3 linked regions of the Yarrowia lipolytica genome follow. The protein of the gene in region 1 purifies or fractionates together with the protein of each later gene. This does not show direct contact. Links are inferred from orthologs where the notes say so. Each region holds a gene or a part of one and is shown in the gene's direction. Other genes may lie near its edges.

The links. The genes of interacting proteins can lie anywhere in the genome.
Region 2: the proteins of YALI1_E38056g (region 1) and YALI1_F19244g purify together in Saccharomyces cerevisiae (affinity purification with mass spectrometry; 28 studies listed by BioGRID, with this or other methods). This does not show direct contact. The link is inferred for Yarrowia lipolytica from reciprocal best matches to the Saccharomyces cerevisiae genes SPT7 and ADA2.
Region 3: the proteins of YALI1_E38056g (region 1) and YALI1_F04763g purify together in Saccharomyces cerevisiae (affinity purification with mass spectrometry; 3 studies listed by BioGRID). This does not show direct contact. The link is inferred for Yarrowia lipolytica from reciprocal best matches to the Saccharomyces cerevisiae genes SPT7 and YAP1.

The regions. Positions count from the first base shown.
Region 1 is NC_090774.1:3,804,655-3,808,408, forward strand, and holds the start of YALI1_E38056g (uncharacterized protein), read left to right. Parts: upstream 1-920; coding exon 921-1,826; intron 1,827-1,875; coding exon 1,876-3,754. Other genes in the region: YALI1_E38050g (uncharacterized protein), read right to left, coding at 1-396. UniProt on the Saccharomyces cerevisiae protein: Component of the transcription coactivator SAGA complex. SAGA acts as a general cofactor required for essentially all RNA polymerase II transcription. At the promoters, SAGA is required for transcription pre-initiation complex (PIC) recruitment.
Region 2 is NC_090775.1:1,922,580-1,926,332, reverse strand, and holds YALI1_F19244g (uncharacterized protein), read left to right. Parts: upstream 1-1,615; coding exon 1,616-1,677; intron 1,678-1,857; coding exon 1,858-3,232; downstream 3,233-3,753. Other genes in the region: YALI1_F19249g (uncharacterized protein), read right to left, coding at 413-826, 1,314-1,406; YALI1_F19218g (uncharacterized protein), read right to left, coding at 3,622-3,753. UniProt on the Saccharomyces cerevisiae protein: Component of the transcription coactivator SAGA complex. SAGA acts as a general cofactor required for essentially all RNA polymerase II transcription. At the promoters, SAGA is required for transcription pre-initiation complex (PIC) recruitment.
Region 3 is NC_090775.1:475,132-478,465, forward strand, and holds YALI1_F04763g (uncharacterized protein), read left to right. Parts: upstream 1-1,208; coding exon 1,209-2,813; downstream 2,814-3,334. UniProt on the Saccharomyces cerevisiae protein: Transcription activator involved in oxidative stress response and redox homeostasis.

The DNA.
Region 1 (3,754 bases):
CAGCACCTTAGTGGTATATTCACTCTGGAAATCCCGGTATCCACCCATGACGATCAGACCCTTGGTGACCTGTCTGATGAACGGCTCTTCATGTTCGAAATGCGTGTACATGGATCTTCTGTTTGTGTGTGAGTAGCTGGAGGGTCGTTCCGAATGATCCATGGGGGAATGCCGTTTGAAGCTAGCTCTCCGGGCAGAAACAGGAGCTCTGGATGAAGTCATGGGGTCGAGGATTGATTGGTAGTCTCTGTAGTTATCGGTAGGTCCAGGAACGTGTCTTGTACCAGTGAAAATATCAAGATCACTGCTTATAGCAATGTCCAAGTCTGGGGATCTGCGAATAGTCGAAGAATTGTTTGATTGCTGAGAAACGTTGAATTGTCGATTGTGGGCCATTGCCGGATTAATAAAGACGCTGCTCACCAAGAGTCGTCACACCTCCTTATATATATCAAGCTGACACTCATATTGTACTTGCCTTGTCCGTGTATTGGGAAGGTCACATTATGTCTGCGGAATTGTCTTCGGTGCCTGACTCGTAATTAAGTGAAAGACACCAATGAGTAATAACTGTACAGTACAATTACGACGGACGAGCACACACAATCGTTCATATCATTGTTTCATGTCAGCTACACTTCTCCTCAGTAGCTCTTACAACTTACGAGTTAGTGTCGTTTCCCCCAAACTAACTCATAATCTGTCGTCATCCCCTCCGACGCCAAATACCCTCCCAACAGCATACTAACTTCTTGCCCTCACGTCCATCACCCAGATCCATCTCTCCCCTCCGGTGCGCGAGTTTAAGGTTGGCACTCCACTTATACTGCATCTCCAACACCACATCTCACCATCACATTCTCCGATTGGGAAAAAAGCCGATCAGCACCGTCTCGGCCTTTTAGACATTGAACGACAACATGACGTCGCTGAACGTGTGGGCCTCCGGGCGATCACGTGATCTGCTTGCCGTCGCCCGCGAAATTGAAGCCAAGGATCTCTGGCGCGGCTTTCTCACCATCCAGGAACACCAGGTCGTGCAAAAAGTGCTGGAGAACGACGCCATGTGGGACAACCTGGTCGAGGGCAAACTGTCGATATTTGTCGACAATCCGTTGCCGGATCCCCCGCTGGGATTCAGGCAGGAACAGGAAAACGCCGCCAACAACAATCTGGATGGAGCACGTCCCGAAACCCCGACTCCAAGTACACCCGTGGTGAGCACATCGTCCTCCTCAACGCATCTGCATCTGAAGCATCTGCAGATGAATCAGCCGTCGCCGACTCCGTCGAATGAAGGCTTTCAGAAGACCGTGTCGCTGGACTGTGTCGCGTTGGCCTTCAAGGTGCGGCACATGATTTTCGACAAGTCTGTGCCGCTGCTATACCCCAACATCAAGGGAGGGGACCTGGAGGTGGACATTGAAGACATCCTGGCAGAACGCAAAAAGGAAGAGACTCCTGCCCAGATCAAGGCTGCTCCTGTACGAGAGGAGGAAGATGACTACGATTTTGATGACGAAGATGAGGGTCCCAAAACAGACGGAAACAACAACAAGGACCAGCATACGGACGGTAGCAGTGTAGCACTAGTGGACTCGGTATCGGTCGAAGACCGACCAGCGACCTCCGACGATATCCAAAAACGAGACTCGGCTCTGTTGGCCCGGATATGGCAACGGTACCATCTGTTTGAAAATGACAGCGAGGCCATGGACTCGTATCTGGCCGAGGAGGGAAGCCAGGAGTCGGAGAACACAGGGGAAACAAACACACAGGAGGAGCCGACCAAGGCGAATTTTGGAGCCGCAAATCTGTCTCTAAAGGTGAGCATCTTCATTACTAACGACCTTCCTATTATTTATACTAACACAGAACCTCTTGGCCACAATTGAGTCCAAGCGAGACAAGTTGTCTCTCACAGACACCCAGCTGCGTAAGCTGATTCTGGACGTGCGCAAAAACCGATCCAAGTGGGCCAACGAAGAACGTGTAGGCCAGGAGGATCTTTATGAAGCTGCAGAGAAGGTGGTTCTCGAGCTACGAGGCTACACAGAGCACTCAACTGCATTTCTCAACAAGGTCAACAAGCGGGACGCGCCCAACTACTTCAGTGTCATCAAGGAGCCCATGGATCTCAACACGGTCATGAAGAAGCTCAAGAACCTCCAATACGACAGCAAGAAGGACTTTGTCAACGACCTAATGCTCATCTGGCAAAACTGCTTGACCTACAACACTAATCCCAAGCACTTTTTGCGAGCCCATGCTATTGCCATGCAGAAGAAGACGTTGACGCTCATTCCTCTCATCCCCGACATCACCATCAAGACACGGGCCGAGGCAGACGCAGAGGAGGCCGCGCAGGCTCAGGAGGCCAAGGAAGAGGAGGAAAAAGAGCAGGGAGGTGCCAAGGCTCGAACAGGAATGTCTATTGGCAAAACTGTTGGGAAGGGCCAGAAAGGAGGAAAAGGCCAGAAGGGAGGCCGAAAGCGGAAGATTGAGGAGGTGGATGAGGATGCTAAAGACGCCGACGACTCTGACATCAAGGTTGAAGATGTGTCTATGGACGTCGATGTTGATGGTAACAACAAGACTTCGGATGATATTAAGCCGGATACCAACAACAACGATATCAAGACCGAGACCAAGGAAGCCACCGAAGAGCCCGAGTCGGCGAACGTGTCTGCCTTGGTCCCCGCTGGCCATACTGGTGCCAAGGAACTGACTGCTTCTGCTGAGAATAATGATTATGGGGTTGGTGGTGATTCCGATGACGATTCGGACAATGATCTCGAGGAGCAGTTCTGGACTGAGTACACTGGCCGCAAACGGACGCTCATTTCCGTGCAGCGGTCGCGGCTGTTTAAGGACAACAAGATACAGGCAGACGCAGACGCTACTGTCATTTCCAAATCAAAGGGGTTCCGTGACTTCCTTTCAGCCGAAGCAGCAGTGCGAGGAGTCGGTCCCCACATGGAGTTTGAGGAATTCCAGGAGGACTTGCTGGAGGAGGCAGCAGAGGTGAATGATAGTACACAGCCCAAGGCTGATGCTCCATTAAACATTCCCCGACGGCCGTTTTTACTTGAGTACGACCCCCAGGCCGGCCTTCCTGAGCTCCCCTGGGCCATTTCATGCGACAACCCCGACGAAGGAATTGACGACACTTGGAGCCATGTTGATATTGAGTGCCTCAAGAACACTCCTTCTCGATACGTTGCCCCTGCGAAGGGTCTAGTCAGCAAGATTGACCACAACTTGAACGAGATGCAAAAGATTCGAAAGATTTGCTCCAAAATTTCTATCATCCGACAAATGCAGCAGCAGTATCTGCATTCGTCGCAGATAAAGGCCTACAATCCGCCTAAGATCACCGATTTTGATGTGGATATCGAGTCTCGTCTTCCTAATAGAGATGAGTACGATAAAGAGGTGTGTGAGGCTTCTCTGAAACGAGCGGCTTCTCGAATTGCTATGCACTCTGGTTTTGAGTCGACCGAGTCGTTTGCCATCAACGCACTCACAGAGATTGCGGGCGACTTTCTATCCAACCTGGGACGTTCAATGGTGGCCTACACTCAGCATTTCAAGAACACAAACACCAGCAAGGAGACGATTCTGAAGGAGACTCTGGAGGAATCGGGCGCGGGGTCTATCGAGGGGCTGTCTGCGTACATCCGAGATGACGTTGAGCGTCACGGCCATAAGTTGGTGGATCTCAAGAACAACCTGGGGTCTTTCTTGGGCGATC
Region 2 (3,753 bases), on another chromosome or scaffold:
ATCGTATACAGTACTGTACATTTAGCTATAGTACTTGTACCTGTACTATACGATGTGTTGTATCAAACATACATGGTTATACACATTTGCAGTGTGTCGTCGCATGAGAGATCACATCTCACGAGCTACAGTATCACATCTCACGAGCTACAGTATCACATCTCACGAGCTACAGTACGAACAACATCTGTAATGTCGATAGAGAATCTGGCGTTTTACAATACCAATACAGTACAGTACTAATTAGTGCATTACTCATACAATACATATCATAGCTACAATTACCCGTTCCGTTACTGGTACGAGTACGGTAGAACTACGTAAAAGTAGTTACATGCATCAGCTACGAACATAAAAACATTTCGAATAAACATGTGAATCAACTAGTGAATCAATAATACATTTTGCTATTTTAGTTTCGCTTTCGGAATCGTCGCTCAGCAGACTGCTGGGAAACGTGGACAACCTTAAGGGGAAGGGAAGAGAATCCGAGGGTCTTGAGGAGGTCGGCAGTATCGTTGTCAACCTGGAGCTGGTTGTCGGTGTGAGAAAGGTCAAGAGCAGAGATCTCGGGGACGTACTGGTCCTTTCGCTCTCGCTCCTCCTCCTGAAGCTTGAAGGAGATACCTCGGACGGGACCCTTCTGGATTCGCTTCATGAGGTGGGTGGTGTAGCCAGCGATCTTGTTTCGGAGTCGCTTGGAGGGGATAACAGCGATCTCATCAGCAAGTCGCTTGTTGGTCTCGAAGTCGAGGGTGAGCTTGGGGTAGTATCGCTCAATCATGACCTTGGAGGCCCGCTTGACAGTCTTAGTTCGAACTCGACCCTGGGGTTAGTAACGGCCTGGAAATCACCACGGAATCCTTCTCATCTTGTCGTCGCAGATAGATTCACTTGTCGTTTGTCAGTCGTGATTGTGCCCGTCACACTGCCACCTTTTCACACTCACCATTTTGTGCTATTTGTTACTGGCGAAAAGTACACTGAGAAGTAAAATCTCTACAGCTTTCGTCAATGTGCGCGGGCCAGCGTTGGGACGTCCCGATTAGGCAGTGCACGTGCTTGGGCCCAGAATCGGACTGTCAAAATTTAAAACGGAATTCAACCCTAAACCAACAACCAGCCATCAGAGCCCCTCCCACATGTAAGTCCCAAACCCTAATAACCAAATTGAGACTGGTCGTTCGTTTTCAAGACGCCTCCCACATAAGCAAGCCCTAATCTCAAAAGCCCCAGGAACATGTTGAACATCAAACTCCAAGCAATACGACCGGGTAACACCATACACTGGCCTACACTGAACCATGACATACCCTATGAGATACAATGCAAGTACAAATCGCGATGTAAGAGAAGAGGCGATTTGACGCTTTCGGTAAATAAATTATACAGTGCGCCACCAACATACAAGTTTGTACAAGTAGCTGGTGTGAGCAGTGAGAAATTAACACACACCTCCAGAATGTGGCATTAAGCTTCGAAAGTGGGTTGGAAATTGGTCACTACGCCAATAAATTAGCATCGCCGCTTGAAACGACGTGGCGCACAGGACAAACAACTGGACACGAAGAAGTCCAGCCATCAACCAAAGAACGACTACGTCTAAATCGCAATAATGACGGTTATCCATCGCAAAAACGCGCCGACAAATCCCAAGGCATCAGAGCCAGGCGTCAAGTGAGTACATCATACATCATGTCCCAAATGCACTCAGCATGGTTTATATATTTTTGCAGTTTGTCAGCAAGTTGTTGCTGTATAGTTGCTCCAAGGTTGTGTCAAGCGAAGGAATGTGCTAGAGTCCCCCGTTGACTCGATTTCGATACACTTTCATCACCCCATGCTAACTAAATCCAGATTTCACTGCGACGTGTGTTCGTGTGATTGCACCAACCTGGTAAGAATCCGATGTGCGGAGTGCCAGGACTACGATCTGTGTGTACAATGCTTCTCTCAGGGTGCCTCATCAGGTGTCCACAAGCCCTACCACAACTACATGATTATTGAGCAGCATGCTTATCCTATTTTCACTGAGGACTGGGGTGCTGATGAGGAGTTGCTATTAATCGAGGGTGCCGAGATGCAGGGTCTTGGAAACTGGCAGGACATCGCTGACCATATCGGTGGTAGATCAAAGGAAGAGGTTGGGGAGCATTACAAGGAAGTCTATCTGGACTCGCCAGACTACCCGTTGCCCCCCATGAAGCGGAAATTCGAGATCACTGCAGCTGAGTTCGCAGCAAACAAAAAGGAGCGTCTGGATAAGCGACGAAATATGCCCACCGCTCTCCCTGTGCCCAAGCAAAAGCCCACGGCTTCTGTTCCTGCATGCCATGAGGTGCAAGGGTTTATGCCGGGACGTCTGGAGTTCGAGACCGAGCATGAAAACGAGGCCGAGATGACGGTCAAGGACATGGTTTTTGATCAGGACGACACCGAGGCTGATGTGGAGCTCAAGATCACTGTTCTTGATATCTACAACTCTCGTCTCACATCACGAACCGAGCGAAAGCGAGCCATCATCAACCATGGGCTGCTTCAGTACAGGAAGAACGCCTCTGTCGATAAGAAACGGACCAAGGAGGAGCGCGAGCTTGTAAACAAGTTAAAGCCGTTTGCAAGAATCATGACACTACAGGATTTCACCGATTTTGTTGATGGAATGATTATTGAGCTCCAGTGTCGACGACGACTGGCTGAACTTCAGGAGTATCGACGTAACGGTATCACCACCTTCGAAGCTGCGTCCAAATACGAACGAGATAAAACTGTACGTGCAAACGCATTGGCCAGGCTGCAGGCTCCCATTAACTCCATCAACTCGACTGGATCCAGATACACTGCAAACTCGATGAATGCTGCAAACAATGCTCTTGTTCAAAAAACCAACAAACAGGCCGCTGCCGCAAACCAGGCTGCCGCCGAAGCTGTGAAGATGGACCCTGACTCGGGAGCAGACACCTTACGGCTTTTCAGAAAACCTGTGGCCAATCCCCTCGACATCTCGCATGCCCCAGACGTGGAGCTGCTTTCTCCAGAAGAGCAGGTTCTTTGTTCCCAGCTGCGTATCTTGCCCAAGCCGTATCTGGCCATCAAGGAAACGCTGTTCCGAGAGCTGCTGCGAACCGGAGGTGTGCTCAAGAAGCGTACAGCCCGTGAACTGGTCAAGATTGATGTCAACAAAACCGCTCGAATCTATGAGTTTTTCCAGTCTCAGCGCTGGCTCTCTTAGGGCCTTGTTGCAACCCATATATAATGCTGAGTGTCACCAATCTCTTGGAATCCTGTATATTAGTTAATTTATTCAAATACAAACATTAGAAACAAAACCGCGAACACTAGAAGGGACAAACATCGAGTATCGTAGCTATTATACAAAGTTTATTGCAGTCTACTTCAGCTATACTCCCTTGCCGGGTATGTACTTGTACTTACCAAAGAGACCTGATCATTCCGCAGTTACCTCGTAGTTGTAACTACTAGGGTGCTGAACGACCACCTCATGCAGGACATCTAGCAGCTTAGTAACTAGATGGCTGGGCACATCTTCTCTCAGGGTGATCTGTGGTGTTTATGCAGTTGCCACCCATTATCCAGTCTTTGATCCACATGCCCGTTGCTCTATGCTTGCAATTTGCTTTCTCCATCTTTTTGCTGGTATGGTGCAGACCCAGGAAACTGCGACACCACCACACCATTCTTGTCTACACACTCGAAGTTGTATCTTGAGAGGTAATGTGGCAACGCACAAAG
Region 3 (3,334 bases), on another chromosome or scaffold:
CATCTGGGCAACAAACCCATCTTTTATCCCGTCCCTGGCAAGTGATCTTCAGCATGGTCCTACAGTAGTACCGACACTGGTGCACTCTATAGCGATAGGTACGAGGAATCGGATGTGCGTACGTACAAAGTGCGCTTCCATGAGGCTAAGGCTGTGGATGCATCGGACAAGTGACTTGTTTCGTTAGTGTAGTGTGTGTGGGAGGAGAGTGTGTGTGCGGGAGTGCAAGTGGAGGTGAAATGTTGTGAAAGGTTGTGAAATGATGTGTAAAGGGAGGATAGGACGGGCGGAAAAGACCGCAAGCTGTATCATTTTGAAGCTCTCGGGCCCGCGAAGCTGTTTGCGGCATTAATGTCTCCATTCGAGCTCTTTTGGCGGACTCCAGGTGTCGTTTCTCTCCAACTACAAGTACTCATACAGTAGCCGCAGCCGTAAAGACCTCAGCCACTGACTCAACACCGCGGTTGCTTCTGGAACGGTTTGAAAGCTAAAACATCTTTAGGTGTCAGATTTTGGGAGGGTTTCAGATGGTGCGGATTGTGCAAAGTGGCAGAAAAGAGGGCGCAGGAGGCGGATTTTTGCGCTTTTGAAGACACATATGGGTTTTCCGAGCCCTCGAAACCATCTCTGGCCGTTTTCCCCGTCAAAAACCCCCGCATTTCACCTCCATCGTCGCTTCTGCTGAAGTCACCAGGTACTCCCGCAAATAAGCTTCATTCGCCACTCAAACCGTCCTGCCTTGAGATAAAAGTGCAACGTTGTCCACCAACGAACCCTGACAAGCCGCTAATCACTGTACGACGAACTTGAACGACCCAGTCGACGATTTCAACGTACAAAGTTCCTCCGAGAGTGACACAGACCGACGAACGATCGCACACAGACCGACAGCGACCACTCAGACAGTCCAGACATCAGACATCAGACTGAACACAACCAACAAGCATTGAACACTGCCCTTCCACCAAGTTCGACACGCAGACACAGAACCGCTCCAACCGACACAGAACCGCTCCAACCGACACAGAACCACTCCAACCGACACAGAACCTTTCCAACCGACACAGAACCGTTCCAACCGACGCACTACTGTTTCTTGTGTCTACAGCATCCACTGCATAATAAAGTCATACCAGCAACAACAGCACTATTCCAGCTCGTGGTTTTTTTTTTTTTTTTTTTGATTACCACAGCCACCTCACCTAGATATGTACTCAGACTACAACATTCCTGGTGCCATGCCGGCGTCCATGGCCATGCCTCCGTTCAAACAGGAGTTTGACTACGCCCAATACGACCTTAACCAGCCCCTGCCCCCGCAGCAGCAACAACAGCCTATCGACCTGACCCCTGGAGGGCCCCTCCCCGTCTCGGATTACTCGACGTCGTCATACACCCTGGACAACGACTCACAGAAGCGAAAAATGTCCCCGGGAGAGTCCACCAGTGACGGAGGCGCCGACGACGAGTCTCCAGAAGGAGATGACGGTGAGGCCGACCCCAAGAAGCCCCGAAAGCCCGGCCGAAAGCCCGAAACCACCATCCCCGCGTCCAAACGCAAGGCTCAGAACCGGGCTGCCCAAAGGGCCTTCAGAGAGCGAAAGGAAAAGCATCTGCGCGACCTGGAAACCAAAATATCTCAGCTCGAGGGCGAGACGGCAGCCAAAAACTCGGAAAACGAGTTCCTGCGCTTCCAGGTCCAGCGGCTTCAGAACGAGCTCAAGCTTTACCGTGAGAAGCCTGCCGGCACTTCGGGAGCCTCTGGAGTCTCTGGAGCCGGAGCACCCGCTTCAAACGTGCATTCGGCTCCCATCCCGGAGATGTCGTCCAAACCGTTCACGTTCGAGTTCCCCTCGTACAACGTGCCCAAGCCGACCGATGTGGAGCGAGAGGCACGCGAGCAACTGCAACGAGAGCAGATCCGAGGCTACTTGCAGCGCAAGCCCTCATCTGTGGCCTCCGACACCACTTCTCCTGCATCTCAAACCTCGTGCAACCAGTCTCCCTGCACCAACCCCTCGGCATACACTTCGCCCCAGAGCCAGAGTGGAAGTGTGAGCCAGCAGAAGCCCCTGTTGGGTGCTACCATCGCTGCCATGAACGGCAAGCCCGACCCCCATGCTGTTGACTTTTGTGCTGAGCTCTCCAAGGCCTGTGTAAACAAGGCCGAGCTGCTGCAGCGATCCGCCACAGCCAGTGCATCTCCCACAACCTCCAACACGGTGGTACCGTCCGCAGCTGCACCGGGTAGCACTCAGCAGTCGGCAGGCCAGCCCTCTGTATCCACTCCTACCTCCTCCACAACTGCCCCTCCTCAATTGTCTGCATCTGTCGCTACAGCCGGCTCTGATCTTCCCGGATCGGACTTCCTGTTTGACATGCCCTTCGACATGGACTTTATGTCGTACCGAGACCCCGTTTCCGAGACGGCACATCTGGACGACTTTTCGCTGCCCGAGCTCACGACAGAAACATCCATGTTTGATCCTCTGGACCCCCATTCCAGCAGCGACGTTATTTCTGGCAAGCCTCTGTCTACCATGGGCGCTACACACAGTGGTGTCAACAACGGACAGGGAAGTGGTGCTCCCGAAGTCAAGAAGGAGGAGGATGAGGACCTGCTCATGTTCTCCAAGCCCAAGACGCTCATGAACTGCACCGCTGTGTGGGACCGTATCACGTCGCATCCCAAGTTTGGCGATATCGACATCGAGGGCCTGTGTTCGGAGCTGCGAAACAAGGCAAAGTGCAGTGAGAGTGGCGTCGTGTTGACGGAGTTGGACGTGGATGGTGTCCTGTCAACGTTCCAGTAAGCGAAAGCTGAAGAAGTTCGCTCCTGGTTCAAATTGGAAATAGGTATATGTTCTCCCGGAGAACATCGAGGTGTAAGTCGGCAGGGTCGCTTCTCGGCTACAGCCATGTTTATTTAAATACTAACGTGTATAGTTAATTGTAATAAGAGAATACGAATAGTGAGAGAGTTCAGATGTATACGGGTCAGTGGGTCAACATTTGCTTCAGACTCTGGATGAAGATTATATATTCCTTTATTAATGGGTTTTCTCGATACAGACAATGGGGTGGAATCTCATAACGCAAAGGATCCCATGACGCCAAAGCAAGTACCGGTCCAATTTGTACTGCCAGTAGAGAGCATCCCAAACAAGCAGTCGCAGTCGCACTCATCGATATGCATATGTGCTACTTAACTGTACGAGTACTGTACAGTACATACAGTACCTGTAGTGATTCACATTCAGTCATACAGTGCAGGAGTACTTCCGCTTGTCTCACAGGCTTTGTCCATGTGCCAATGAGTCAGACAGACACTTGT